3 linked regions of the Lepisosteus oculatus genome follow. The protein of the gene in region 3 purifies or fractionates together with the protein of the main gene of each other region. This does not show direct contact. Links are inferred from orthologs where the notes say so. Each region holds a gene or a part of one and is shown on either strand. Other genes may lie near its edges. The genes, in order: NEDD4-like E3 ubiquitin-protein ligase WWP1, adrb2a and arrestin domain-containing protein 3.

Region 1 (9,815 bases), on a different chromosome or scaffold from region 3:
TTACACTTATATAGAGCTTTTCTTAACACTCCACTCAAAGCACTTTACAGGTAATGGGGACTCCCCTCCACCACCACCAATGTGCAGCTCCACCTGGATATGTGATGGCAGCCACAGTGCACCAGAGCACTCACCACACACCAGCTATCAGTGGGGTGGAGAACAGAGTGATGAAGCCAATTCATAGATCGGGACTATTAGGAGGCTATGACCAGTAAAGGCCATTGGAAAATATGGCCAGGACGCTGGGGTTACACCCCATTATATTTAAATATATATATATTTTTGTATTATTTGAAAATTGATAAAACAATAACACTGCAGACTACTGTGCACTCTGCAATTCTGTGCAATGTCTGCGTTTTGGACCGGCATTCTTCTACCTCTCCAGGTTTTAGAAATGTAAGTTATTCTGCTACATATTATTGACAAGTTATTTCCCCACATGAATCAAAGCCATTCAAAGATTTCTGCATGTCCCTTGAAAATAGGCTATGGAATGACAGCTGACAAAATGTTATGTACAAGAACCATCTAAGAATTAAAATTATCTGGTTTCTCAGGCACATTTTATCAATGGGTTCTTAAAACCTTAAGTTTTTCATTCATACATACAAGACTTTTTATTTTCACATTATTTTTTCAACTATTTCAGCTTCTTTATTTGAATTTTTTAAACTCCTGCAACGCAGGTACAAAAACATATCAACAGGTAAACAGTTACAATTCAGCCTTTATACCGTCTTCCGAGCAGCTACAAAATAAACACGCTTGGGTTGGAGACCATGGATAAAGAGGAGAACAGATTTGTTTTTTCAGCACCCAGCCAATGAGCGTGCAAGTACAGTACATCACAACAATCCAAATTAGATAGCTTCCTGAGCGCTGCGCTTTAGGTAAGCTAATTTCTTGCTGGTAAGGGTCCAAGCAAGAACCAACAATATGAGACAAAGCTGAACTTCCAAGATTGTCTGCTTTCACAAGGCTTTTTGTTGGCTCCACATAATGTGGCCTAAAATTCAATGTCCTCTTCTTCCAACAGCCATGCCTCACCATGTTCAACCTCCATCCTGACAGCTAACACTCCTGTACCCTTTCTGAACGCAGCAACAGAGACTGGCTAGAAACTGCCATTGAATCAGTACGAAATTAGTGCCAATAAGCAAGTGAGACCAATAACTTTCCACTAAAATGCCAGTGACCAGTTTTACTTACAAATGAACAATACGTTTTTACTGTCACTTTAAAACAGCACCTGTTTAACATATGTGTAGATAAGATGGCCAGTTCTCTAGTTCATTCTGAGAGTGAAGTGGAGATTAAGGAGATTCTTCACTGTAATTTTATTTACTAAGCTGTGATAGGTACAGAATGTACAGAAGGTACAGAATGGAGGTGTCTGCCATCAGTCCCATTTAGTCCCAATTCAGGGGCAGTTACAAACAGCACGCCTCCTTCAGGCTAGAGCCCGATTACAACAAGTGACATCTGCTTACATCTGCTTCCCAGCTCTGTTGAAGCCACCATCCTACCCTGAGCACCACTGCCACACCAGCACAGTGGAAAGTGAAAGGATGTGAGCCAGCGTATATGAATGATTTTGCCCTTCTTCTCAACCTCTCAGAGTTCATTTGTCACATTGCATCAATATTGTAAGTAAATATAAAAATGCATTTTAGCTGAGAGGAACATTCCCACAGCTATTTTTAAAGTCTGCTGCACCACTATCCCTGCATGCCTACCCCCTCCTCTGTCTCAGCAAGACCCATCTCAGTTTCTTCCACACCTTAACCTCATGAGGAGGAGACCATCCACTGTGCAGTACCTCTCAATGGTTAAGAGGCAATCAAACATCAGCACCTAAAAAGATGCTACCTATAAGTCCATCACCATTGCAATCACTGCACAAAATAGTGAGGAACAAGTATTCATACTGTATGGAGGAGTGTGCAGGGATTAATGCTGAATCCTGGACAACATCAATTTCCCTTTCAACAATTCTCTAAAGATTCACTTGTTCCTGGATTTTTCCCCAACTTGTTTGAAGCACAGAAGGTATAATTTAAAGTACACTAGAGTCTAACTTATTAATAAATACATTTCAGGATTAATTATTAGCATATAAGAATTTAGCTAATATTTCAATAAGACTGACATAGAAATGTAGATTGACAACATGTCTAAGGCTTTTGAACAGCAGTGTCACTGTATAATGCGGGATAATACATTATCAAACAAAAGCATGTTAAAAAAATATTCCAAAATATAACATTGAGAGAAATGTTTAAGCCACGTGGTGACAGACAAGTGCCAATGTAAAGTCACTGAGGGTAAACACTGTCTGTGTTTTAATTCCAACTCATCACTTAACAAGCAGAAAACAATCTGACAAAGGCTTTACTTAGCTTTACTTAGCTAAAACTGAAAATCCAGGTGTGAGGTTTTACAGAACAGGGCAACAAATGCACAATATCTACCATACCAACCTACCAAGAAACAAAGTCAAACACTTTACAAGAAACAGTAAGTCTCCTATCCTTTTCTTTAAAACACAAATTCTGTAAATCACGGCTAGCCCTGGAGGCAGCTGTACAAATCAGTGAGGCTCTAATTCCTGTTCCAGAAAAGCCATAGAAAGTCAGCTCTGTAACAGCCGTCCACCTGGTTAGGAGAATCAGTCGAGGCCTGGAATACCCAGCTCATGTGGAGCTGAACAGATAACAGGGGTGCTTCACTTTCATCTACCCATACTGTGCTGAGAGCACATGATTATAGGGAGAGCATGACACTTCAAAACAAGGCTGAATCAACATACCCACTTGTGGCATGAAGACAGACAAAAAGGCCCTGTGAAATCTACTGTGTACCACAATTAGGCCTAGGACTGTGTATTGATGCAAAAGGAGTACTAACACCTTGCAAATACATTTTTTGCAACATTACACATTTACAGTATATAATGCACACGCACCATCCACACCACCAACAGCTGTTTTCAAAGGTAAAATCGTTTGATTAAGATGCGTGATCATTCGATATAAACTGCTTTCCAAAGAACAATTATAGTGCAACTAACTGGACAGTCTTACTGGCATAACTGTAGCCGAATCCCATAGTCGTGGATCTTGTATTTTGTTTTATCCTTCATTTAACCAGATAACTCAAACGATAAATTCTCACTGTTCAATGACAGACCCAAAGAGACCCCATTTAAATGGCAGGGCATTTACTGGAGCAGCTTGAGTAAAGCACCTTTACTACAGAGCACAATCCAATCCAGTCCCACACTTCAACAAAACGTAGGGGCTTTGCACTTCTCAAAATGCCCAAGCTAACTCCAGTACTCACTCCCTTGTGTCAAGTGCTGGTCTTAGAAGTCTTCCCCAGGTCAGCCTTCCCCCCAGTGAGGTACTTCACTCAAGACTGCTCCAGGAAAATACCCAGCATGTACAAATGGGCCCAAATGGATATAAGCATCAGACAAACGGATTAATAATGGGGCAACCCAAAGGTACAAGTACACTATTTCTAATAAAAGGTTCATGGAGACAGAGCAGCAGAGACTGCTCAGACTGGCAGCCCCCCCCCCCAATTACTTCTGCAAAACAAAGCAACTAAATAACACAACACTATCGCAAGGGTCACTGCGTGCTTGACTTGGCAAATTTTTATTGACGTACAAACACGATACAACCAGAGATAACGGTAATTCCTCTAATAAAACCGCCTGTGAACAGGGAGACTACTGAACTTTTCCCCCAGCTCAGCACTGCTCATCTGAAAGCCTGGTCAAACATATTTCAAACTTTGCAGATTATCGCTCTACAGACCCCTCTCAGCTCCCCTGCGCCACAAAACAAAAACATCTGAGAATACTGCGATTTTTATACCACATGCTTGTTGCCTTAATTGATAAATCTGTCTTCATTTTGTGCAGATCATCCTGGCCCACCAGTCTTGACACCAGTGAGGGAAAGCTGAGACGTGCCGATTGTTTATTAAATGTCAAATCCGATTTTTATCACACTAGTAATACTAAAACTCCTATCATTATTATTTTCCCTGCAGACTGAATTATTTGTAATCCGATACACAGCTTAATCTGAAGGACTGGACAACCCGACATTCAATTTGCTTGCGTTTACCAACGGGAACTTCGGCGGTGTTGAAGCAAGCGAAACAGGTCATAAAAGTTCACTTTGAGGAAAACAAAATATTTATACGACACAACTCCAGCCGATGGGTTACCGGGTTTTATCACCGGAGCTATGAACACTATTCATCTGCCAAGTCTCGAAAACGCAATACCATCTTTTTACACATAATAGTAATAATAATCATAATCATCATCATCATCATCATCTTTTTCTCATCGGTGCACAGAATCCAGCCCGGCTAGGGATTATTAACAGCCAGAACAAACACGGGACAGGCCCCCAGCACTCCAGACTTGAGTCCGCCATCTTTTCGTACAGTGCAATACAACACAAACAACTCTGAGCGCACGGACTGCACAACCTCTGTAAGACACACAGAGCCTGAAACGGAGGGGACGAGACAAGACCTGGGATAAGTGACCCATCTGAAGAACATGGTACCACCGTATTTCCAAAACAGCAGCTCGGAGGTTTGGCGGAAACTCTTACCGTGCCCGCTGCTCTTGTGCCCGTCTAATACAGTCTCAACCACTCCACCGCTTCGCCAGGCGAGCAGACCTTTTTGCCATCTCTCAGTCTGTTTCTCCTGCTCTACCCGCAGCGTGCGCGCACACGCAGGACACGCACAGCTCCCGCCTGGCGACGTCACCACGCACAGTTACCATGTTGCTGCGATACCCAGGCGTGAGTAGATGAAGCCCAGTCTGGCGTTGTGAGCGCTAAACTTGCATACGCGGTGTATTCTTCATCATGTACTGTATACCCCCCCCCCCTCTTTAGCCACAGCCAATACATACAACACGTATGAGCAATGTCCAGGTTTTTCAGAGGCATTATCTAAATATCTATATATGTCGTGTTTCTTATACAAACAAAGTGTATAAAATAACAACCCAGGACGGCGATGCACCACTCAAAATATTTTAACTCGTAACTCCGAACGCGTTAACTCCTACATTAAACCATAGTCTGTTACTCCCTTATTCCCGCTCTGCCCTCCATCAATCAACGCGCAGTTTCACTGCTGACGCACACAAATATTACAATATAAACATTAAATTAAATTAATATTAATGAACCGAAACGTAAAATGCTCGAGAATTATATCCATCGCAGACGAGAATTAAAAGTAACATTCCCGTTATTATTAGTAGTAGCATTAAGTCTTGTCTCATGAGTTAGTGCAACTAACCAGGTGACAGTAAACATCAGTGTTTGGGAAGAAATGGAAATCCCTTTAGTTTCTTATGTATTGTTCTCAAAAACTAGGATCGTTTTAAATTGCAATGATGAAAATTAGAATAATTTTAAAATGTATTTTAAAATGTTCTAAACAATCCAATTTGGTATATTGTTCTATTGGTCATTTGACCTCTTACATTTTAACCACAATAATCACAATTGGACTCCACTCAAAGTACCGATTTTACAGATTTGCGGTTAGAAGAATGTGTCTTGAGAAGTAAAAAAATATATTAAAATGATTTGGAAATGATGGTGGAGCATTTCTAAAGTATTTGATGCACTAGATGGAAAGGGGGGCAGTGAAGACACTGTCAGATGAAAGAAAAATACTTATTTTGTTAAGTTATGACAGTTTTTGTACTTTTATTTTGTATCCACAGAATTTGCTACTTAAACATTAAACACGAATTTTAACAGGTAGGCTAATCTGGTAGGCTTATTATCTGTTCAGGGCTGTTATAGCTGAGAGACTAAAATACTAATATATTGACCTCTTCACAGCTAAAATAATGGATATGGATATACAGTAGTTTTCTCTTCTTTAGAAGCTCTCACTTTTAATTAAAATGAGATTTCTGGGTGTCTACACCATTGCATGAATTTATTTGGTTTATATCCCATGTTCAAATATTCATTTAATATGTTTCTCGTCTTCCTAAGTACTTTCCAAAAATAATTTCTTCTTGTGAAGGAATTATTTCTTAACAAGATTTTTTTCTTAATAAGAATACTTTTAGTATCAAATCCTTATTTTTTCATTTGTTCACAAAACTAAAAAGTTCAAGTCAGGAGTGGACAAGTCATCAAATTCCACAGATCAGCAGATTTTTATGAGTCACCCTTAAATCATCTTTTCTATAAACCTCAATGTTGTTTTAACCACTGAGGTACTGTATATGATTGAAATGAAGCTGTTTCAAAAACATTTAAAATGAAAATACCAACACCCTTTCACTCTCTTCAAGTGCACGTAGTTGTTCTTAATGTCATTTAATCAGTCAACTGACTAAAGGGACCAAAGTTCCTTGTGATCCAGTGATTTAAGGGATATACAAGACCCGAGGGACTGTGGCTCTGCAGGACCAATATTAGCCATTTCTCTGGTCTATGATTTGTCCACCCACTAAAAGAGCTGTGGAAATCTCTTAAGCAACATGGACTGCTGGTTCACTTTCTGACAGCCTTGTCCATCTTGGACTTTGCATCCTTTTAAGGAACTGTTGCTTTGTTTGACTATGTCAACTACAGTGTCAAGACAGTTGACTTTAAAACCTTCCAGAAATTGAGAGAGGTTTCCGTCTTCTGAGTTATTTGCATCTGCACATTGTTTTAATTTTAGATCTTTGATATTTTATTAAAATAATTTCTATAATTATAGTGTTATTCATTCCAAAGCAATGCTAAAATGGTTTACATATTGGAGATACCAATTTCATCCAATACTGAAGTTCAGTAGTAGCCTTAATACACAGCAGGTCAGGTAAATAATTGAACTTACAGGGACACCTAGGGAGACCAGATTGTGCAAGCACAGAGTGGAATTTAGCCAGAAAAAGCGGACTAACTAACTCTTACAAACATTGTCATTGGATATTTAATGGCCAATCTGTCATAATGTGGTACCATACAGGGACATTGGTTTTATGCTGTTGTTGTTATGTCATGCTGAGATCCAAGTGAAGGACTACGTTGGAGAAAGCGCTGAGGTTTGAAAGAAGTGAGGCCAGTTGGAAAAGACCACAGAATTGGGGATGCAGATGACAGGCTGACAGGAGCAGGGCTGCTGGGAAACAGGCAGATGGTACGGACTGACAGGAATGGGGCTGCCGGGAAACAGGCAGATAGGTACAGGCTGGCTGAAACAGTACACCACTGGACCAGTGCTGACACTGAAAGACAGTCACTGTGGAAGGGTTTTGTATCAGGATTCATGGTCTTCTAGTTGACAGAAAGGAAGGTGTCTCATAGCAGGTGTAAATAGGCTATGTGGAGGCTATGAAATAGACCAGGCCCTGTATGGTGAATCATAAGGCCCAGATGTGCCCAGGCCTAGAAAAGCTACACCCCTTTTTTAGATGTGTGCTCTTTGCTTTTCAACACAACCTCAGTGCAACACTAAGTACTAAGTACTGTAAATAAAATGTTTTTTATACATAATAATGCATTTTTTCCCCACAGTGACAGAATCCAGCCCAGCTCAGGATAAATAACAGCCTAAACAAACATGGGACAGACATGCAACACTCCACACACGAGTCTTCCATGTTTTTCTACAGTGTAACACTACTACAGTGTAACAGAGTTTGTGATGAACTCGGTTCATTTATTAAAATGAATGTCTCGGGTATTTTATATTATGTTCCATTAAGATAGCTCCAACACGTATTTTTGGATGTACAGCAAAAATTTAAATGGACAGTAAAAGCATTCACAGAATTTGCATCCAGCTTCTCCACACACAATTGAAAGTTTAAAGTTGTCTATAAAATAAAAAGTGGAATAAATGAAAAGGACATTCTAAACACACTATTTGTATTGTATATGTATTATGTCCATCTACAAAATATGTGCTGCATTTTGTATATCCTTGTTCTGAAAGTGTGTTATTAAGTTCACAGTGAAAGACAAATTAAATATATTGATGTCTGTAGGTTAATACACAATTGCTAAGCTATTGGTTGCCTTTCTGTCCTGTTTGTTAATTTAGAAAATGGGGATGTAGTTGTGAATCTTGCTTTTCTGTCTCTGTGCAATGCATTCTGCAATCCACACGATGTTCCTGTGTTCTTGTTCTTTCAACTTCACGTAAGCGTAGAACACCCCAAAGTGGAACTGGTTCAAGAAAGCCAGGGTATTCAACTTTACCTAAAGGAGACAGGAATTAAAAGCACATCATGTGATTGCCTAAAGAAGACAGGCATTAAAAGCACATCACATGGTTAAACAAAGAACTGCAACTTTCTCCACTCTGTCACAATATTACCTCTTAGTTGTTACAACCAGTTACAATGTGCCAGTCTTAACTGAATTTTGCATCTTACCTTCAAAAGCAGGTCTCTATTTGTACACTTTTAAAAGAGCTTTTACAGCTGCTGTTTAATACCGTTTCTATCTGCAAGTCACTCACATTTCACTTTTTCTCTTTTTTATCATCAGTAAAAAAAATTCTCCAGAAAACCACAAAAAATATCACATAGGCTACATCTTTCAAAATGGTCATTTAAACTCACTAAAAGCAGGTTGAAGGTTCTTATTTCTTTTGCAGTATTAGGAAACAGTCTTCTGTAAGAAATCAGTGCTAAAATTAATGGGATAGAAATATATTTAAATCAAATCAAAGAGATTCTGTTTCATTAGACTTTGCATTTACCATAGATCTCATTAGAAATCGAAACATAAGTCATCTGTTTTCTTTAATCGTTGAGCTCCAGATATGTGATCTGAATCATGAATAAGTCCTCAGTGTTGTACCAGATCTCCTGACACAAAGGAGTAGTCATTAAAACTCATGGATCAGAGCTACAGCTCGCAGCACAGAGTCACTGATCATATTCAATCCACTTGGCAATTTTCTAGGCAGCTTCAGCATTTTTGAATTGAAGCCAGATCTCAGGATCATCATAAAGAAAGCCAAGAGACCCAGGGCTGTGGTAAAGCCTTTATTATATTATTAGAGGAGACCATTGGCCATTTTGCCCATCTAGTCCATCTGGTAATTAATAGATAATTGATCCAAGGATCTCTTCTAGTTGCTTATTGAAAGAAACCAGAGTATCAGATTTAACTATATATAATTATATAACTAATATAATTATTAGTGTCCTAATAATTATTAGGTCAGCACTACCCATCAGAGCATTTCCAGGAACGTGGGAAGAAGCAGCTACAGGTATGGAGAACCTAGATGAAGAGCCCTTGTAGTATCTCGTCCTTGTAATAACTTATCTCTACATTGTAGCCAAGGATATGAAAGGTAATGTGTGCACTTTCTATATGCAATCATGTTAACATTTGCAACAGAGAACAGAAAGGCACATTTCATGAAAAATAGTAAGTTAAAGGCTGATGAGGTACCTCTACTTCCAGTGTAATTACAATGAAATTTTGCAGGGCGTAGGTTTTCACCAATTGCAAAAAAGAGGTATTTAGAGGTCAATATTTCAGATTGTGTCATATTTCCTGGCACCACTCTAGTACTGTCACTTTAAGGGAACATTTTACTCACAGAACTACCACAGCTTCCTTCTCTTTGACAACTTGCTAACTTAGCTTAGCTCAGCAGCATTATTTCGCTCAAACCACCATTTCATAAAATAGAATAACTCTCTTTACTGTTAAATCTTAATACATTTGTGTATTTATATACCATGTATTCATGTATTATTTTAATGATGGATTCCTAACTAGATTTCA
Region 2 (10,330 bases), on a different chromosome or scaffold from region 3:
GCTCCATCACTGAGTCATGATGCTGATTCAATACAGGGGAATGGGAACTTATCCCATTATGAGTTATTATGTTTTAGTACTGACTTCTCATGAAGATTGTGATGATGATGATGATAGTGTCACTGCCACTTTTCCTGAACAATAATGCATTCTTGACTTGACATTCTTGTCTCCTGCGGTCCCTGGAAAAAGACCCACAACCTAAACTTGCCGATGCTATTCTGTCTGCGCTGGGTTTTTTAGTGTCACTTGATGCGTTTTGGGTTTCGAAGGAACACGGGGCTCAGCTGGCTCGTTGCAAGGCTATTGCACATATTAAAAACTGATTCCTGAACAGTGCAGGGATAAGGCTGAGTTTTGGAGGGATGAGCCCCCAACACACACAGAAAGAGAGAGATACGTTCCCATAACGAGCACTGCTGATGAGGGTTTCCGTACTATACGGTGCTGCGACAGGACATAAAGTGTGCAGATGCGTAAGTCGCCAGCAGAGGGCGGTGTATACAAATTCTTCCACACGGTTGGTTTCACGTTACAAAAGTGCATCTCAAGCAGTTCTATGTAGAATCATTTGTTTTAAAACAAATTTTAAAAATATATCTCACGTTTTCTAACTGGTATGCACCATCAAAAATGAGAAGGCTGTGAAAAACCGTTCTAGTATGGATTTCATTTGATATCCACTTACAGACGTTTATACAAATATTTTTTTTTTACATTAAAATGATCTCGCAAAGAAAAAATGTTTCCGTGCACATACACTGTACAGGTCTACATATACACAAAATATACATACAGATTGTATGTCTTTTATTCCGTATATGTCGATTATTTTTTGTTTTAGTACCAGTGAACGATGAAACTATCTCAGTATTAGAAAGTGCCCCTTCTTAATATCTGAACGATATTTATATGATCAAACTCAACAAATGAAAAGGGGATGAAAGGCGAACGACAATGCTTTGATTTCTAAAGAGAACGCTTTAGAGCCTGAAAACACGGTAATTACTGTAAGTGAATAGGAGGAATGCCAGTTATATTGATGCTTGTGATTACGATAAGTTCACAGTTTTGATACCCGCCTACAGTATATTTCAATAAGCCACTTTCACGAATTTACCGATTGCTAACGCTGGTGATAGGAGGCACACTGGGAATAGAGACAGCTATTCCGATTTTCTTTCAGTGCATGCAATGGGCGCAAATGATCACAAAATGCATTTTCTGTTGCATGAAGTTTGCTTCGAGAAGGCTGAAATTATTTAAATGTATTTTCGTACTGCGCGCGTTATAACCGCCCCCGGTCTGATTTCCTGCCCGGATGCTTTCATCTCTGTATTTCAGAAAACACCTCTAGACCAGAGCAGAGACAGGTGTGTAGACGCACTGGTGGGTCTCTGAGAGGCAAGAATGGACTGGAGCCGTTGCGGTTAATACTCGACTCGGGTGCTTTGCGAGTCGGATATACTGTACTGTATACGCAGGAACTCATCTTCCCTTTTTCATTCGCAGTAAATGTCGTGACGGAACCTTTTCAGCCTCCAGTAAAGATTTCTCTTCCTACGAGAAGCCACGACAGCAAAAACGTCTCAAAAGCTTAAGATCGATACATTTGAGTGTGCTTTTTAATAGTAGCAGTCGAAACAGTCGGTAGTGCTGTCTGTCTGGTAATGGCTGTACTGTAGTTACAGAATGGTCAGAGTGACTTTCATCTGCTTTTATTAACTTAATTGGCTAACGATTGTATCGGCAAAGACCAACTTCTGTTTACACACCCGAGCATTTCACTGCTGCGATCTGGGTGAAGTACTTCGCGTGTTTTTCCTTGCGATTTGATACCACAACTTTCTAGATGGGAATCCGAAACCCCACCACTACACCTCGATACCGCCTCTGGTATCTACACTTTACACCAGCGGCTACAGCTGGAATTCAGCCTGGATTCGCCTTGGGTTGTTTTTTTTTGTTAGCTGACTTCCAGACCGGACTGCCTTCCCCCCTGCACTGGGTTCGATTCAGCTTTGAACCCCATAATGGGAGTCTCGGCAAACTCAACACACCGCAGCCACAAGACAAAACGGGGTTAACCTTCAAGAGTATTACCAATCAGAAAAGCTGTCGGGGGCTGTAACTGTCGAAGAGCATTGCTCAACTGTTTTGCAGCCCTTTCCTCCTAAACGGAAAGAGCGGCGCTTTGCACCTGTTATTTTCCCTCTGAGTGTTGGGTTACTGTTGGGGAGCAGAGTCGACAGCGCCGCGCTTTATTAAGCCTCGCTTTAAATTTTCCACAAAATGAAACTGGAATGTATTGAAGATGCGGACGAGATGAATGCTGTGCAAGCTAATAATTTGAGTATACTTCGTTATAGTTCTTTTTTCCTGTTTTTGTTTTCTCTTCAGTTTTGTCAAAGGCGGATTTAAACTCGATCGCGAGTGCACTGTCCTTGACGTCCTGTTTAGTGAGTGATTAAAAGTTAAGACTGCACTTCCACATTGTGCAAATCCTGAGACTAGACAGCCCGAGACACCACTCTGAATCTTTTACCCTCGACTCCCCCCAAGATAATTCATTGTTGGAGCAAAACATATTGAACTCTACAAAACCGCTTGCTAGCATGGTCGGCAGACGTCAATTAAATACTGTTATGGTACCGTTTTCACGTTTGTCCTTCAATAAAAAAAGAGCCCTTCCTTTTTCTTCGCTCTTGAAAGGATCCGGAGTTTTCTTTCGTTGTAAGAACGTAAGCCTGGCTTCATTGCTCTCTTGCATTCGTTAAAAAAGAAGTAATGTCCCTAGTTCGTTAAAAAATTAAAAATAAAAACAATGAGGTAGGTGAAATGAAATTTAAAGTTGCAGAGACCCACTCTCCCGCCGTGAGAGCGAATGTGATCAAGTGGGCTCCTTTCGTTTTAGCAGAACCCACTCAATGGCGCCCACCACCCCCGCCCACAGTCTCACCCCCTGCATTCCCCACTTGTACATTCAAACACATTCATAAAATGTGTCCCCCCCCCCTCCCAAAAAAAAACTCCCCCTTTTCCCCCTGGGGGAGTCAGCGAGTTATACAACAGTCGTTAGAGCTTTGCTGCAGTTGCCGTTGGTGTCCGTCCCGGAGAGGGGACCCCGACATTTGGCCAGCGTCCCCTCCGGGGTGACGCTGTCCTCCGAGCTCGATCTGCCCTTTGCCTGCGGGTCGTTCTGCCAGCTGTGTCCGCTGTAAACATAACCATTGGGCGGGCCCAGCGTGGGGAAAGGCGACCGCCTCAGGCACAGGATCTCCTGGAAAGCGTGCCGGAACTCGGGGCTCCTGCAGTAGATCACGGGGTTGAAGGCCGAGTTGGCATACCCTATCCAGTTAAGAATCTTGAACGTCAGCTTGGTGTTTTGGAACTGGCCAATGGCCTCCACCACGTTGAGCACAAAGAAGGGCAGCCAGCAGAGAGTAAAGATTCCCATGATTATCCCCAGGGTCTTCAAGGCCTTGTGCTCCTTCAGGCAGAACTTGAAGGCCCTCTTTGGGGGCGCCTTCCCCCCCTTGGGCTCGCCGCTGCTCTCCTGCTGCGGGAGGCCGCTCTGGACGTAGAAGCGGCCCTCGCACCTGTCGATCTTCTTGAGCTGCTTCTTGGCCTCCTGGAACACCCTGCCGTAGACGAAGGCCATGACCACCAGGGGGATGTAGAAGGAGACGATGGAGGAGGTGACGGCGTAGGCGGTGTTGGTGTTGAAGTCGCAGCAGTGGGTGTCATTCAGGCACCTCTGGGCCTCGGGGTCTTTGGAGACCGACCACTGCATGTGGATGGGCAGGTAGGAGATGAGGCCGGCCACCAGCCACACGGCCACCACCACGATCCAGGCCCGGCACTTAGTCAGCAGCGACTGGTACCGGAAGGGGGAGGTGATGGCCAGGTAGCGGTCCAGGGCGATGACGCACAGGGTATCGATGCTGGCCGTGACGCAGAGGACGTCCGTGGCCGTCCAGAACTCGCACCAGAAGTTGCCGAAGTGCCAGGTGTTCAGGATGATGTGGCACGCCCCGAAGGGCACCACCACCAGGCCCATGACCAGGTCGGCGCAGGCCAGCGACATGATGAAGCAGTTCGTGACGGTCTGCAGCCTCTGGAACCGGGCGATGGCGGTGATGACCAGAATGTTCCCAAACACGATGCCCAGCACCAGCAGCGACAACAGCATGCCTAACGCCACCAGCGACGCCTCGCTGTGCTCAGGGCTGCTCGAGTTGGACGCGGAGCTGTTACTGAGAGGGTCCATGGTCTGAGAAACAACCACAGCAACAGCGACAGACGGGTCAATAAATGGACCGCTTAAACGGTAGAAAGACAAGGGGGGCAGCCGATAAAAAACAAAACACTTTTTTTTTTGCTTGTGCTTTTTTAACATAAAACAGGTGTTTAGTTATTAAAGGGGGGGAGAAAGTTTACTAACCTTCTCCTGCTGTGCTCTTGTCTTCTTCTTTTCTCCCACATCAATCAGCTTTATTCCTTTGCTCTTTGATGTCCGAAATCTGTTTAGACACTTCCCGAAAGAGCCCTGTCGCACTCTCCTCTGCTCATTTCTGTCCCACTCTTTCAGAGGCTGCGTTGCAGTCTGGCACATACAGTATGCAGGTTCCTGGCTGTGGATGGTGCTCGCAGGCTATTGACAGAACCTTATAGTAAGGGTGGGCGATGACATCATTTCCAGCAGCCAATGAGCAGGCGAGGAGGGCAAAGCGCTAAAGGCTGTTGTGTGAAACATCGGACTGGTCACTTTCTGTCTGTGAACCAAATCAACAGAGGAAGTATAAAGTGCTGCATATGTCAAAAAGCTCAGCTTCTTATAGCTTATCAGTCTGTTATGGTCTTGTCTCGAAGGAAGAAGTACAAATGCAAAAGAACAGATTTTACTTTCCCTCTCTGTGTCTCTCTTTCGGTTTGTGCTGGCTGTCTGACTGATTGGGGTGACTGTCTTAATTTTCTAAACCGTTGAAACTCGTGACAAAAGGCTAAGAACAACTTCTGTGCCCCCCAGAATCAAGTCTGCCCCAAGTTTCCTTGTCAATGGGACGATTAATCCTACTGAGGTCAAAGGAAAGTACTGTATACAGTATGTATGTGAAAATAAGCTTTTCATTTCGTGAACAAAAAAACATTTGAAAGTCCTAACCTGAAACTGCAGGGGCTAATAAATGGAGTGTTTGTTTTGAATCCACAGTGTGACTAAAAGTCAGTGCGACTTTTGAAAAAGCTTTTTGTCCACGAGAAAGTGGTATTTAGATAGATAGATACTTTATTGATCCCGTGAGGGAAATTGCAGGGACAATTATCTCCCGGTTCTAATTCCTGAGAGGATCGTTGTTTTTTAATGTTATTTTCCCGTTTTTCTGTTTGCTTTTGTATATTGGCTTGTTTGTTACTGCATATTTGTTGCAGGTTGTTTTGAATGTTTTTTGTATCTGATTTTAGATGTTAAATTGTGCTCAGAAAAGGGTGCTATGCAAAACTAGGGATTAATTGATTGATTGGAAGCCGTTGGCTACCCATTCTATGATTACTTTCAGAATAGCTGTTCTTTATTTTTAACCAGGCGAGTCTGCGGTGATATTTTAGGTATTGTATCCCGTATTGTATTGTACTCGTTAATCCGAACCTCTGTGAATGAGTTTTGTCTTTAAACTTGCCAGCGTGTAGACAGGCACACAGCGTTGAATGAGACCGTCTTGATCTCAAAAATCCTTCTCCCGCGCATCTTGTCTGCCCGCAAGTCAAGTGATGTATAGTTAGTATCTTAGGTGTTCGGAACTGTTTCTGAAATATTGACAGGTCTTGGAAAACCCATGTAGATATATTCGTTTCGTGTGAATTTTGCCACTGTTTTACTTTTGTTTCTGTGAACAAAATCCATCCGAACACGTCTTTCAGCTACCACTTCAGTTAAATTATTTAAAGACATTTTATTAAGCTTTTTTATCAAAACAACGCAAAGAAGTCGAATTTATTTTCCTTAGTTTGGAAGGATCTTTTTTAACGGCGTGTTTAACTTTGAAAAATTCTGTGTTGTGCAGGGAATGTATAAGCGAGTTGTGTTCATTTATGCCTGACAGCACTCATCCTTGCCATGAATATTTAAGTATAATACATTTTAAACAATTCACAGCTTTCCAGAAGCTCGGCATTTCTGAATTTAAAAAAGCGTTGGTTCCGTCACCTGGTGTAAGAGAAACCAGGCGCGGAGAAACGGAAGAAAAGCGACGATAGTGACTTTTTCAAAAAGGATAAATGGCTCGTTATTCGCACGGACCTTTTTATTTGACTAGAGGAAGATACATTTCCTAGGAAACGTATTTGAATACGTTTTTTAATCAATAGCACGAGACTGCCAAGAAAGCAGTCTTTCTTGCAAAGAGCACAAAAAAAAGATTTCTTTTTTGTGACTACTTTAATCGCCTTATTAATATTGTTGTTCGTAATATTTCAGATTTACCACACCTGAGTATAATTCCACGACAAATAATTAACAAGGTTTCATGCAGTACAGTACATTTCCTTTCAAGCAGAGCAGATGAGTTTATTGCCATATGGACATGTTAATTGTCCGTTCACCCGGGACATACAGTACAGTGCACAGTGCAGCAGACGACAGTAGACACCTCACGACGTAGACAGTACATTACAAAACGGTATATAATAATGATATATACAGTCAATAAACAACCAGTAAAAATAAAACATGTTAACAATAAATACGAGATAGTGAACAACAACGTATTGTACAGTAGTTCAGTTTTAAGTTGGCACGATCGGGTTGTATTTGAAGTCCTGCATTGTCTTCTGAGTCAGCTTTTGACTTTTGGAACCCAGAAACAAAAGGTGTGCAGTTTTTCTAGCGTACTGCATACACAAATGTCCACACTTCTTCACTATGAAATGGTGCTGTCATATTTAAAGCTCCACAAGCATGACCTTTTTTTTTTCCCTGAGAGATACACAAACATCAAAGCTTATATGTGCACCTTGCAATAAATTTGCCGAGAGCTTAAAATGGCCTCCCAGTCGAACATTAATAGTACCAGGCTGCAGCCAGGAGAGAGAGAGCTCACAGTCACGCACTATAAAAAGAGTTCTGACTGGGGACTGAAGAGCCTTCACTATTCGTGTACATCATGTGTCGGCCCAGCATCAGTCTGGCCACAGAGGAAATAGGGAGAATATACTGTAGTCCCACCTGTGTTCTTTGTACAGGTGTAGGGAATCCTGGCTGCCAGTATATCCAGGGACAGGCTTATGAGACGCTCAGGGGTTTGAAAAGAAACAGAGTTTTTTCCAGTCAAATGTCCTGTTTCCAAACTGGTCTCGTTATTTAGTCAGCTGGGGCACTTTGACCATCACGTGTGCCTCAATAACCGTCAGGAGCCAAGGCCATTGTTAAAGTCATCAAAAGCAAAAGAGCAGAGAAAAATCTTATATATTCCCAGCAAAGCAACGGTTGAATTTCAATTGAGTAAATGAGACCTGGAGTTGGAATTCTGCTGGAAAACTCTGCACTAGTGAGATTGCATCTGTCTCTCTCAGTCTCTCTGGAATGATGAATGCACTTTGCTATGCAATCAGAGTTTTTTTTTTTAATAAGGTGGCCAGTGTTCATTTTAAGCATCTAAGCTTTGTTCTTTTCATTATGGGTTCCTTTTGAAGACAGCAGATATAGAATGGCCTTTATTTCTTTTATTGTGTGAATAAGGTTACCTCTGAGGTCTCCTCATGGTTAAGAAGGTTAAGAATCAATTTATGTGCCCCAACAGAAGCACCTATCATAACTAAGTCACATTCCAGAATAAGCCCTTGTGTCCTCTCCGCTCAAAACCACAAGTCAGAAAAGCTGTTTCTCTGCGGTTTTGCAATCATTTTAAATGGTATCGCAAATCTATTTAAATGAATATTTTACCAGGAAAAAAAAAACAGTTCTTTCAGTCCTAGCTTTCTGATAAGGGACAAATCAAAGCTTGTGTTTACTTCTGTGCAATAATTATCTGTAAACTCCTCAACACTGAATTAACAGAGAGTCAGGCAGGGTGATCCCACGGAGAAAGTGCTCTCTTGTTGGAACAATTGAGAACTTGTTGCATCAATATCACTAAATCATAACCAGTTTTACTCAAGTGCTTGAAACAGTATATCATCATAGGAAAGTAAGTGCACTGCCCCCTGGTGAATGTTGAAGAAAGTCTACTCAGTCTCATTTAACTCTATAAACAACCCAAATCCATAAACACTTTATAGTCCAGGTACTGTACATTACCAACCATGTAAGCACACTTACTATTACACTGGACTAACAGCACTATCAACGTACATGTAGGTAAGAGTGTATATGTTTGATACATATAAGTACCTTGCTTATTACACTAGTATTGTTGTATTTGGTAATGTACCTGTATCATAATGTGCTTGCAGAAATTCTGTTCCATAGTCTTGTGCATCTACTGATACAGTGCAGAGTCTTGGGATCTGGAAAGCTGAATCTACACATTTACATTCAAGGTATGCTCAGCCTGAGAGCCTGTGAACCCAATGTGTCTGGCACAACTGAGGCTGGGGGCTATCTTTAGCATCAGAGGATCCCAGGACATTCTGTATAGTGCAATGAAGAAACTAATGAAAGAAATTCACCTGATTTGTGAACTTAAATACTGTGAATAGTTTTGTACTATAAATAGTAGTTATTTTTTTTTTAGTAGTTTAGTAGTTTTTTTTTAGTAGTTATTTATAGTTGTTATTTTTTAGTATTTAAATGCAAGTCCTATAACATGTCATGTAAGAGATTTAATCTTAATTCTGTCAGGTTTTAGACATTGTGGTATTATACTAAATTCATGAAAATGGCAGTGCAGTATCCCCCAAATGGGATACTATACTGTAGGCTATACATAAGATTTTAAAGGACATTCAGATAGAAACAAAATGAGCCAGGGCTACTGTAGCTGCCCTTTTCTTGCTAGACTGCTATGACAAAATAATTAACAATTTTGTAACAATTAAAACTCCCACCCCCAGGGAGATAACTGTGATTTATCACAGGGAGATAGCTGCCAGCACCCTGGAACTCGCCCTGGAGCTCACAGCTGGCAGCCCACTGAAGCTCAGCAGGTGTGAGCCTGGATGGGAGACCTCCTGGGAAAGCTAAGGTTGCTGCTGGAAGAGGTGTTAGTGGGACCAGTAGGGTCGTAAAACTGATGAAGTGGTGTAAAACTGGGGTCCTGACACTCCATGGTCATTAAAAATCCCAGGATGCTTCATGAAAAGAGAAGGGGTGTTCCCCCCTGGCCTTTACCAATCATGGCCTCCTAATAATCCCCATCTCTGAACTGGCTTCATCACTCTGTTCTCCTCCCCACTGAGAGCTGGTGTATGGGGAGTGTACTGGTGCACTATGGCTGCCGTCACATCATCCATGTGGCGGTGGTGGTGGAGGGTAGTCCTATTACCTGTAAAGTGATTTGAGTGGAGGGTCCAGAAGAGCGCTGTATTACTGTAAGGATATTATTTACACACCATATATGGTCCCGGACCCTCGGGTGGGAATAATATAGCATCCAGTGAAATAGGACTGAGCGGAGACAGTTAAAGAACGCCGAGCCCAGGAATATCAAGTATCGGCTCTTGGCACACGGGTGGCATCTCAACCCTTTCCAGAAACAAAAGCAGGAGGCTGTGCTTAGCCGGGCACCTCTTCAGCGCTGGGCCGGTGACGTTAACCTTCCTGGCTTGCTGTGTCTTTTTTTTGTAAGGAAAATAAAGAGGGAGGGAGAGATGATAAGAAAACCCCCTCGCTGTGCTGTAAGTGGGAGCAGCTGCACGGGGCTGTGGTGCCAGGTCTGTTTATGCTGTGGGCTGGTACCCCTGGCATGGGCTGGGCGGGCGGGCCGCTAGGAGTCTCGTTTCACACCGCGGCATGGCCGTCTGCCCTTTCCGCACCGAGGGGTGAAAAGATCAGGAGCAGGTCAGCCGCGGGCCGCTCGTCATCCTGGACTCTGTTGGAGGCAAAGAAGTAAGTTCTGTTCAGTGTGGGAGACTGCTGCACCCATGTTCACAGTGCCACTGTGGGATGTGGCACGGACATTGTCCTTTTACAGCTTTCCCTGCGACTGTGGGGGACCAGTTGGCGCACTGTTAGACGGGCAGTGTAGACCTACTACGGGGACTGTAATATAGCTTGGTGTTAGTTTCCAAACGCTAAGGAGAAATCGTTCACCAAACCAACTGGACTTTGCTTTTAGGGCAGGTGGGTTGAAAACTGGCTATAAAAATCCGTTCTTGAAATCCCATCAGAAACCCA
Region 3 (10,295 bases):
AGTGTTGAGCTAGATCTTTAGCTGATCAATTTACTACCATTATAATGATTGAAGAATCCAATATTCGTCCCTAATGAATGTTTCCATTGTATTCTGTGTGGAATATAGCTTTGGTGAATATGTAGTTGGTAAACTGCATATTTGTGATATTAATAAATATTAACCTGAATCACACCTGAAGAAGGCTCCACAGCCGAAACGTTGTGTTCTCTTTCTTTTTTTCAGCATGGAATAAACCTGACGCAGCTACCCACCTAATATTAATAAAGTTGTACTGTACTCGAGCAAGGCCTCGGCGAGAATTATGCAAACAATTTTAGTCGCCACATTTTTCCAAAAATATGTTGGAATCAGAACTGAAATAACAACCTGTCTGATATCGTGACAGGTTCAATAAACCCACAATAAAGTTAATAATAAGTTAATCTCATTCATCTCAATCAGAAAAGACTACAAATGTTGCCTGATTCGTGTTTCTTTGACAAAGGACACAAACCAGGGAACCGAGTTGGAAACGAGAGGGAAATGATACGTATAATTCAGGAGAGGAGAGGAGGCTCTTCGCTCCCCCAGAGGGTTGTTTAGTATGCAGCCTGCCCTGTCTGTGTTGCATGAGGAGAAAACACTCCGCAGTCCGGACTACAACTCCTGTGTTCTCACATGCTATAGGCTGTTGTGGCCACCAGGTGTCTCCATCACACCCATTATGTAGTTTGCTGAGCATTTTTCTCTCTGTGCAACAGTTTTCATGAAACACAAGTATAAGTAATCAAAGAACAGGCACAGAAACAAATATAAGCATTCCAATAATTGTATAAACAAATGGCTTGTTTTAGATTCTGTGTTGTTTTATGAATCTAAAATGAGGCTCAATGAACAAATGTAACAAGTTCACCACCAAGGACGTTGCATAATCCAAAATTTCAATTTCATAATCCCGGCTCTGATTTCCTCTTTCTTACACCACAGAAAACGGAATTTAAATGATTTATGTGGACGTTTTAGACGAGCATAGAATTCAACATAGAGACACTTGGAAAACAAGTTTAAAAGTTTTGAAGACCAGTTTGAACATTGTACACTTAGTTAAAGTGTTCGCTGACGGCTGTTTGAAAGCTAATGTGTCTATCAGCAGGTAAAACAACTTGTTGATGGCGCAGGCAGGTAGCCGGATTATGGATTTGGTATTGTTTCCAGGTGTTTTTACATAATGCCCTCTCATTACAAACTCACTTTTTTGTGCAAACAAGAAATCCTGTGAGCACTAGATTGGTAAATCTTCATCATTTACCTGACCCTTTTCTTCTCAGCTTCCTACTCACTCGTAACAATGAGGTTTTTTGACACTAATGCACTCCAAGGTATCTAATTAACTTGGGGTAGTTATACAGCATTCTGGTGCTTAATGGATTTAATCAAAGATACAGACTTCAGAAATAAAGTAAAATATGTAATTTACTTTACTAGGGGTTTAAAAATCAAATACAAAGAGTTCAGGAATTGTGCTTTTTTTCAAGGTGATACTTGCTTATCATTAAAACGTTCACTGACAATCTTTTGATGATTTATGTGAAATATTTAATCAGCACCTAAATGCCAGCAGCTATGTCACCCTGTCACTCCCAGCTGGAAGCCCACTGGAGCTCAGCAGGTGTGAGCCTGGTCAGTACCTGGATGAGAGACTCCTGGGAAAAACTAAGGCTGCTGCTGGAAGAGGTGTTAGTGGGGCCAGCAGGGGGTGCTCACCCTGTGGTCTGTGTGGGTCTTAATGCCCCAGTATACTGATAGGGACATTATAGTTATTATTTACCAGCGGTACACCTCGAGAAAGTATGCCAGAACCATTAAAAGTATACTAAAAGAAAGTATTATGTCTTCTTTATAGCAAACAATTCACAGTTATGTAATGATCACTGGCCATTAGAGATCTGTTACTATAATAATTTTCATAAATAATTTTATATAAAGCCATTATCTTCTTATACTTCTATTTAGCAATTATTCAGCATCCTTCTAGACCTGTTCCTTTACCACTGTCTTACATACTTCTTATTGTTGTTGTTCAGCTGACATTGTATTTTTCCCCAAAGGGATTTACATTCACACAGAGGATGTCTGTCTTCCACAGAGCCCTGCCCACAGCCCCTAACATACCAGCTACCAAACACTCGTCTAGCTGGCCTCGATTTCTGCTTTGGGATCTCCTCCCTACTCTGTGTTGAGCTTGCAGGATTCCAGGGGCACAGTAAGCCTTCCCTCTCTCGCTGCAGCCTTGTGGGATAGGTGTGCACGTTGCCCACAGAGAGCGAGCTCCTGCGTCTCGAGGAGAATCAGCCAAGGAACAGAGAACACAGAAGACTCAGGAGGGCAGCAGACACAAAGGACACAGGGCTGAGAGGTCTGGCCCTCCCTCAGACACTTTGCTGCTCCACAAGAGAGACCAGGGTGGCATCCAGTCTGAGTGGAAAGGCCGTATTCTCTTACTTACACGTTACTGTTGCCCTGGAAGAGGTGTTAGTGGGGGCAGCAGGGGGCCCTCACCCTGTGGTCCATGTGGGTCCTAATGCCCCAGTATAGTGATGGGGACACTATACTGTAAACAGGTGCCGTCCTTCGGATGAGATGTAAAACTGAGGTCCTGACTCTCTGTGGTCTTTAAAATCCCAGGGTGTTTCTCGAAAAGAGTAGGGGTGTAACCCCGGTGTCCTGGCAAAATTTCCCATTGGCCCTTACCAATCATGGCCTCCTAATAATCCCCCTCTATGAATTGGTTACATTACTCTGCTCTCCTCCCCACTGATATCTGATGTGTGGTGAGCCTTCTGGCGCACTATGGCTGCCGTCACATCATCCAGGTGGGGCTGCACACTGGTGGTGGTGGAGGGGATCCCCATTACCTGTAAAGCGCTTTGAGTGGAGTGTCCAGAAAAGCGCTATATAAGTGTAAGCAATTATTATAATTAGTATTATTACTGTAGTAGTTTGTTTTACCCAGTTTCTATTTGAATAATGAAAGCATACACTTTGACTCATCTTCGTGCACTGCATTCTGAACCCTGGTGAAAGGCAAACGTATATAAAGGACCACAAATATAAATTGCGTTTCTAGTCAACAAGTAATCTAACAGGTTTTCAGTTGCTGTTGTTTTAATCACGTTGCTGTTAAAAGAGGCACGAAGACACTGCGTGTCAGAGCCTTTGGGGTGTCCTCACAGTTAGATGCTAAAGGGGGAACCCCCAGTGATCCCGAGGTGAACCCCACTAGCACACAGCCCTGCCATTCAAGACATCTTTATTTTCATTTTTGGAAAATTACACTTTTCTTAGTTTCTCAGACTTGTTCCAGAAGTACAACATTGAAGAAAAATATGACACGACATGGCTGCAGCGAGAGAGACAGTCCGAACAAAGTCAAACCCACAGATGCCCCTGGACAATGTCTTGCACACTTGGCCAACTGGGGATGGACAAACCATTCAATTACAGGACCAGGGCAAGCTGGAGGTGTTAAGGAAGAGGAGATGGGATTTTGTTTTCCTTCAGTTCCCACCTGTTTTCTTACACTGTGTATCTGTGTGCAGAATGTTTATACTTTATTATTGTCTGGGGTGAGCTGGAATGAGCCGAATGCATTTCTAACTCAATCCTATCTCATGAGAGAGAGGGACCTTCGTCTGCACTAAAACAATTAATGATGGCTCAGCAGTAATGATGCTTCAATATTAAACGCGCAGGAACTCTTATAAAAGCCTCAATAGAATCCTTGGTGTGATAAAGGTCTGTACTTTATCACACCAAGGACTGCACCTCCATAGCAGGGGTTTCTGGACTTTCTCACAAAGTGGAAATTAAAATGATGAAAATGAATAAACTCGAGCAGCAGGTATAATTTGACGCACATGGGCGGCCAGTTGTGAGTAGCAGGGTGATATAGCTGCCTGCTACAGGCTACAGGACAGCTAGAATCATTTTAAATAAATGGGACAGCAGTCTCATTAAAACAAGGTTCACATTACAGGACTCGGTCTCCAAGGCTGGCCAGGACAAGGTCCTCTCACATGAGACAGGCTTCAAGGAAGAGAAGGGAGATGTTTTTTTCTCACTGTTTCTTTCCTATCTTCCTTGGTTTCCTCTGGTTTTGATATTCTGTGTTTCTGTGCGCACAATGTTATCCTTTATTATAATTCACCGGAGTAATTCACCAGAAAACCCCCTTCTGATCATCTGTGTTTTTGCTGCCTGTAACCTGATCTACAGCTCTGCAAATATATCAAATTAAACCCATAAAATTTTCTCCATAATGTATGAGATTCAATAAAGATAAAGCCAAACTTTGAGATTATATGTTTGAAACATAAGGTATTCAACGCGATACTTTATCGCTAAGAATGAGTACTCTTTTGAAGTATTTACTCGGAATGGAATTATGACCCCAGATGAACACTAGATGTCGTACTCTCACCGTAGCAAACTACACTGACCCACACTGAGTTTCCTTCTGCTGGTTTACCGGTGTGATTTAACAGAACCCATTCAACAAAGCCGTATCCCGAAGAATTCCATAGAAGACCTACTAGAACAAGTACAAGCATTTTGAAATAAATTGTTATAACAAGACTCAGATATGCATCGCAGAGCTAATGGACCAACTAGCAGCGCCATATTACCTAGCATGCACTGTGCATAGGGCCTATGATAATTTAACGATCACGATATGAAATATAACGATAACGAGCCTAGGATAAAATCGATGTCCACATTTTAAGATATTTCTATAATATAAACTGTAACATAGATATTTTTGAATATATCCCATACACAGCGACGATGGGCCATCTGAAACAAATCATTCAACATAATTTTGATCACGTATCTAATCTGAGACATCAGAACTCCTATAAATACTCCTCCACCTAATCCAGGGACTGTGAAAGAGAAGTGCCCAGCATCTACAAGGTTCTTTCTTAATCCAGCTCTGCAAACGAGTAAAATCCCCAGGACAGTGTGCCACGTGTAGGTGTTCTCCTTCACAGGAGGCGTTAGACGAAGGTCCTATTTGCTCGCTAAAGACCCCTTGTCCGTGAACTTGTCCTTGTCTGTAGGAGCAGAGCTAAATTCCGACTCCGGGTTTGTACTATGTGCCCTCCTTGAAATTCTCATTAATTCACCTGGCGATGTCCTTTCTCCGCTTGCATCCAACACTAGGTGGCGCTGCACTTCACTGCTGGGGGACGTGGATCCTGTCTGTGGAGCATAAAAGGGGAAAAACAACTATTCTTTTGAGAACGTGGCTGCGTCACCATGCGTAGGCTGCAAAGGGACACAGGTAAAGGTCTGTTCCCTGCTGAAAGCTAAAGAAAAGAAGCACAACGTTTTAGCCGTGTTCCTTCGTTTTGCTTTCCCTTTCAGCAAGAACCGAACCAGTATCTGTTCCGAAATATTGTTAGACCTGAGACAGGCTAGTATCCACTGCTTCGAAATGTACCAAATTGATTTTAACAACAAAATGGCATTACAATACTTAGGCTTCGCAATCAAACACTAACTACAGTAACTAAAAACCGTCATCTGTGATGCAACTGCTCAACACTGCAGCTCTGTGAACGTTTCTATAACAGCTTTGCGTGCAACAGGTACACAACAGGCACAAGTGCTTTGCGCACTTTTATTTGCCACAAGGTGGCGCTGCATAGCGCTTTCCCTGCTGCTGCTTCCTGACGAACCGGCGAGCAGCGCCGTGTAGTTTTCCCTCACAGTGCGGCGGCAGAAACTGCTGATCGGGAGAAAGCTGCAGTGGATTTAAAAAGTATGAAAGTCAGAGATGTTGTATTTATGTGGAGCGGACGATTTAATACGCTTAAGAAAAAAAAACGATCTGATGTTTTAAACTCCATTAGTTTGCTCCAAACTGTGCATCCAAACAATGCTGCAATAGGTCACGCATCGCCGCTCCGCTGCGAACTCGCAGCGTTCACGCCACACAGCTAAACAGACAGGCAGCTCTGCGAAAGGGCTGATCGCGGTGTTGCTGTTGTTTGTTTGTTTGTTTGTGTGTTTAACCGGGTGTTGCATGTCTAAAAACCAGGGCTCGGCCAGGCGCGAGCCGCCGGCGCGGGGCGCGCACGCGGGCTGGCCGGGCGGCTCGCGATCAGCTGTTCCAGTCAGCTGGCGCGGGGCCAGGTGTCAGCGGAGCCACGCCCCCTCGCTCGCGGGAGGCGGAAGGAGCTGGGAAGGAGGGATGGGAGGGGGAGCGCGGCGCATGCGCGGTGGGGTTGTTTTTCACCAAATCCTCGCTTTTAAGTGAGGGGAACCGGAGCAGCAGCTCGTCTTTGTACAGAGACCACGGAGAGGAGGAGGTGCGCGATAACAGCATCGAGTGCTGTTATTTAGCCTACCAGCATCTCAATGAACGGCTGGCGAGGGAAGCACTGATCCTGCCTGCAGCTCTTGCACGGCAAAGGCGTCGATCAGTGTGTTTGTTTGTTTGTGTGTGTGTGTGCGTGCTTTGCTACGATCACTTTTTTTTTTAATTTGGTCGTGGCTGTCTGCTCAGACCTTATTTTTTTTATGTGTTCTTAACAAAAAAAACAAAACAAAAAAAAAAACCCGAAACCATGGTGCTAGGCAAGGTGAAGAGTTTCACAGTCAGCTACGACTGCCTGAATGACAGCGCCGTGGCCGTGTTCTCCAGCGGGGACTCGGTCTCGGGGAGAGTCGTCATTGAAGTCACCGGGGAGATCCGGGTCAAGTCCCTGAAAATCCACGCGAAAGGATTTGCAAAAGTTCGCTGGACCGAGTCGAGGAACGCCGGGTCCAACACGGCGTACACGCAGAACTACACCGAGGAAGTGGAGTACTTGAACCACAGGGACATCCTGATCGGACACGAGAGAGGTAAGGGGGAACGCGCCGCTTCTGCCTTTTCTTTTTAAGGACTCTGGGGGGTGGAAATGTCACGTTTCCGTGAGCTGCCCTGTCCTCTGAAGACCGTGATCCCGGGGCTGTCATGGTAGTTGCACCGAAATTCTGCCCTTGGCTAGAGAGAGACGCTCGGCTGAATGCCCCCCATATCCCAGTAGTTCATTCATTCCGGCCCCAGGAGTGCAAGATCGATTTGCACGTCCTCCTTCGTCGAATATTGTGTGTAAAATGAGCGTCTCCCCTCTCCCTCAAGTGAGCGTTGGAGGTCCTGGACCTCTCGAGTGGGTTAGCGAACTTCTCGAGTGGGCTGCAGGTTAGGTCAGGCAAGGCAGTGTGAGTGAAAAGAGAAACCGAATCGCCTCCACGGAGCTCTGAATACACTAGGTAGTTTTGCCAGTCGGGGTCCGGTTTTTAAAATGCAGTCGCTGTTAATACTGACAGGAAATATCTGAAGGAATTTCAGGCTGGGATGTGTAGTTGGAAGAAGATGCCCGTTCATCTTTCGGACAGTGAGAGGTTGCGAGTACTTCACACACCACGAAAGACAATTAACTGCTTACTTGTCGTTGTTTTTTTTTAATGTACTGTGTGTGTATATATAGATTTTTTTTTTTTAAAAGTAGTTCATTTTAGACCAGAACTCGTGTCGACTCTCGGGACAGCAGGAGTCAATGCGGTAAACGTGAAATTTGGTAAAAAGAAATTAGAAACGGCTCACGGCGCCGCGTCCTTGGACGTATGCGGGAACCCGGGGTTATGCCCGGGCTCTTTGGGTTTTAAATCTTTGTTACATTTGGCTTTTTTTCCCCCAAAAAAGATGATTTCCTTAAGTTTCCACCCTTTGTTAAAAGCGGTTCAATCCTGTTCAGAAACTGGTTGCTGGGGAGGAGGGGGGGGGCAGCGGGCTCTGCCGTTCTCGCCCCCCGATTGGCTGGGCGCGGTCACGTGTGCGGCGATGACCTCATGCCTTTGCAGGGCTGAGCGAGCGCATCCCCACCTGTCTTTTCCTGGCGCACGTCTGGGTTCAGCTCCCATTCCCCAACCCCCGGTTCCTCCACGGCTGCCCCAGGAGTCGACCCCCGGTTTGCGCTCTCTTGTATGCCGGAGGCGGAAGGGGGGCCGGGGGACGGAGATTTCCCCATCGGCAGTTTAAGGGGCGCAGGCAGTGCCAGTCGTTGAATCGCAGTTTCTGGGAACTTGCGAGCACGCAGACCCCCGGAGTTGGAGCCAGGCTCCTGGCGGTCCGGTGGTCTGTGTCGTTTTAATCCGCAGCGGCATGGGCGACAAAAACTAAACTCCCTTAAGCGCCGTCTCCATTTCTAAAACACACAAATTAAACACACGACACTTTGGCTATTTCCTCTGGAAGGGCAGCTGTAGCGGTTGGCGAACCGCCGCGCGTACACACTTTGATTTTTGTATGTTTATTTTATTTATTTTGCTGTGTTTACACCGCCGTCGCGGTGCGCAGAAAGCTCAGAAAGTTTTCGGCAGGTTTGGACACTTGGGGTTGGTGCGCTCGGGCCGGCTGGGCTGGCCCCGCCCCCGCCGGGCGCCCATTGGCCGAGCCGGGTTTGTTAGTCCTGTTGCCAAGGCAGTGCTGGAGCCTGATTGGACTAGAAGTTATCAGCTGCGCGGCGGACTGACACGTGATTTCCATGCTTGTTCCGACCAGACTCTTCTACAGCCGGGTCTGGTCGCTTTTCTCACCCTTTTCTAAACTGTAATGCGCTTCAGTCCGGAGGACAGGCACCGGACAAGCCTGTTCCAGCTCTTTCTTTTGGGATGTGACTGTACTTATTGTGTGTTTTGTACACTGATGTAAGACGCGAAACGCTTATGTTGTGGGAGCAGCACCGCAGTGGTGCCCCTTCCTGGCATGTATCTCATCTGTATGATCTCAATGTGAACCTTGGTTGGTTGTTTTTTTGTATATTTATACCTTTCTGCTGCTTTAGGGGAAGAAAAAAGCTGTCTCCCCCCCCCTTGTGTAAAAAAAACAAACAAACCCGCCGCTAACAAAATAAAAGCGAGATGAATTCTAACTTGTTCCGCCTCCTGCGTCTTTATTTGCTATTGTGCATTTTCTCTGTGGTGTGGTGTGTGTGTGGGGGGGGGGAGGTCTCTTGATTTTCTCACCTGGAGGGGTCTGTTACGGAGGCCGGCCGGGCGCTGGGGCGGCTGCAGTGCGCGGGGCGGCTCGGCAGGGGGCGCCGCGAGGGAGCGAGCAGCTTCGGTTTCTGCAGTGCGTGCGTGCGGGGGAGCTGCTCGCGCCGGTTTAGGCCGGTCCTCTCCTGCTCGAGTCTGTCTGTGATTGACAGCTCAGCACTTGTTTACCAGGACCGAGCTGCTGCTGCTGAGGCAGGGGCAGAGCGCTGGCGCTGAGCTGGCAGAATTGTAACTTTGGGGGAGAGGCGCCCGGTGTGTGTGTGTGTGTCTCTCACAAGCTGTGCATGCGTGCGTTTTAAAACGCAATTTAAAAAAAAAACCCGATAAAGCAATTGTTGGGAGTTGTCAAACTGTGCCAAACGCAAAAATGAGACGAAAGCAAAAACTAGTCTGTCTCTTGTTTTCGCGCAATCCTCTGAAATGGAAGAAGGGCAGTGGGTCTCCTTCAAGGAAGGGAGTTTGTTACAAATGCCACAACCCCCCCACCTCTTTCCCAGGCCGTGTCCGAATGAGCGGGCGCTCTGGTGGGGAGAGCACTGCGATGGGTCCTTTGTAGCGCCTCAGGAGTGTGTGTTGGGGGGTCGTTTGAAAGTGGTGTGTGAGCACTGACGGGGAGAGGGAATGCTGATGTTTTTCAGGAGGAGAATAAGGGGGAATTTGTTTGCCATGACTAGCCCCCTATCGCCTTTTCTTCATGCTCATGGGCGCGGGAGTGGAGCTGCTCTGCCTATGAGGGTGTTTATTGGAGACTAATAGAGATTCATTACCTTTGTTCTAGGAAACTGGTTTCAATGCAAATACACATCGAACCTTTTTTATGAGACTTGACTTCCTGTTTTTTTTATCTACATTTATAAATGTTTAACATATCCGGTTTCCAGAATTAATTGTGACCTGTGTAATTTTTATCCGTCTTTTGTTTCTGTTTTTTTGCAGTGATGTTTTAAAATGTTTCAATTCTGGTATTTTTCCTTACCTAGAAATGTGTTTTGAACTGTTTTTTATTTTTTTTTAATTTCCATACAGCGACCCTCATATCTGTTTCACAGGTATGGTATACGTGTATTTGGAATTTTGTTTTCCTTTGTTTCAGATGAGGACAACTCTGAAGAAAGTCTCACCACTATCCATTCAGGAAGACACGAGTATGCATTCAGCCTTGAGCTTCCACAAACGTGAGTCTACTTGAAAGATGTTTATTTGCT

What was found.
Region 1: the proteins of arrestin domain-containing protein 3 (region 3) and NEDD4-like E3 ubiquitin-protein ligase WWP1 purify together in Homo sapiens (affinity purification with mass spectrometry; 4 studies listed by BioGRID and IntAct, counting the BioPlex papers as one, with this or other methods). This does not show direct contact. The link is inferred for Lepisosteus oculatus from reciprocal best matches to the Homo sapiens genes ARRDC3 and WWP1.
Region 2: the proteins of arrestin domain-containing protein 3 (region 3) and adrb2a purify together in Homo sapiens (affinity purification with western blotting; 6 studies listed by BioGRID and IntAct, with this or other methods). This does not show direct contact. The link is inferred for Lepisosteus oculatus from reciprocal best matches to the Homo sapiens genes ARRDC3 and ADRB2.

The regions. Positions count from the first base shown.
Region 1 is NC_090701.1:25,938,191-25,948,005, forward strand, and holds the start of NEDD4-like E3 ubiquitin-protein ligase WWP1, read right to left. Parts: upstream 4,778-9,815; 5' UTR 4,647-4,777; intron 1-4,646. Other genes in the region: V-type proton ATPase subunit d 2, read right to left, coding at 8,106-8,267. UniProt on the Homo sapiens protein: E3 ubiquitin-protein ligase which accepts ubiquitin from an E2 ubiquitin-conjugating enzyme in the form of a thioester and then directly transfers the ubiquitin to targeted substrates.
Region 2 is NC_090706.1:28,678,120-28,688,449, reverse strand, and holds the start of adrb2a (adrenoceptor beta 2, surface a), read right to left. Parts: upstream 4,631-10,330; 5' UTR 4,616-4,630; coding exon 4,445-4,615; intron 4,274-4,444; coding exon 3,062-4,273; 3' UTR 1-3,061. UniProt on the Homo sapiens protein: Beta-adrenergic receptors mediate the catecholamine-induced activation of adenylate cyclase through the action of G proteins. The beta-2-adrenergic receptor binds epinephrine with an approximately 30-fold greater affinity than it does norepinephrine.
Region 3 is NC_090698.1:72,935,502-72,945,796, reverse strand, and holds the start of arrestin domain-containing protein 3, read left to right. Parts: upstream 1-6,311; 5' UTR 6,312-6,614; coding exon 6,615-6,894; intron 6,895-10,183; coding exon 10,184-10,265; intron 10,266-10,295. UniProt on the Homo sapiens protein: Adapter protein that plays a role in regulating cell-surface expression of adrenergic receptors and probably also other G protein-coupled receptors.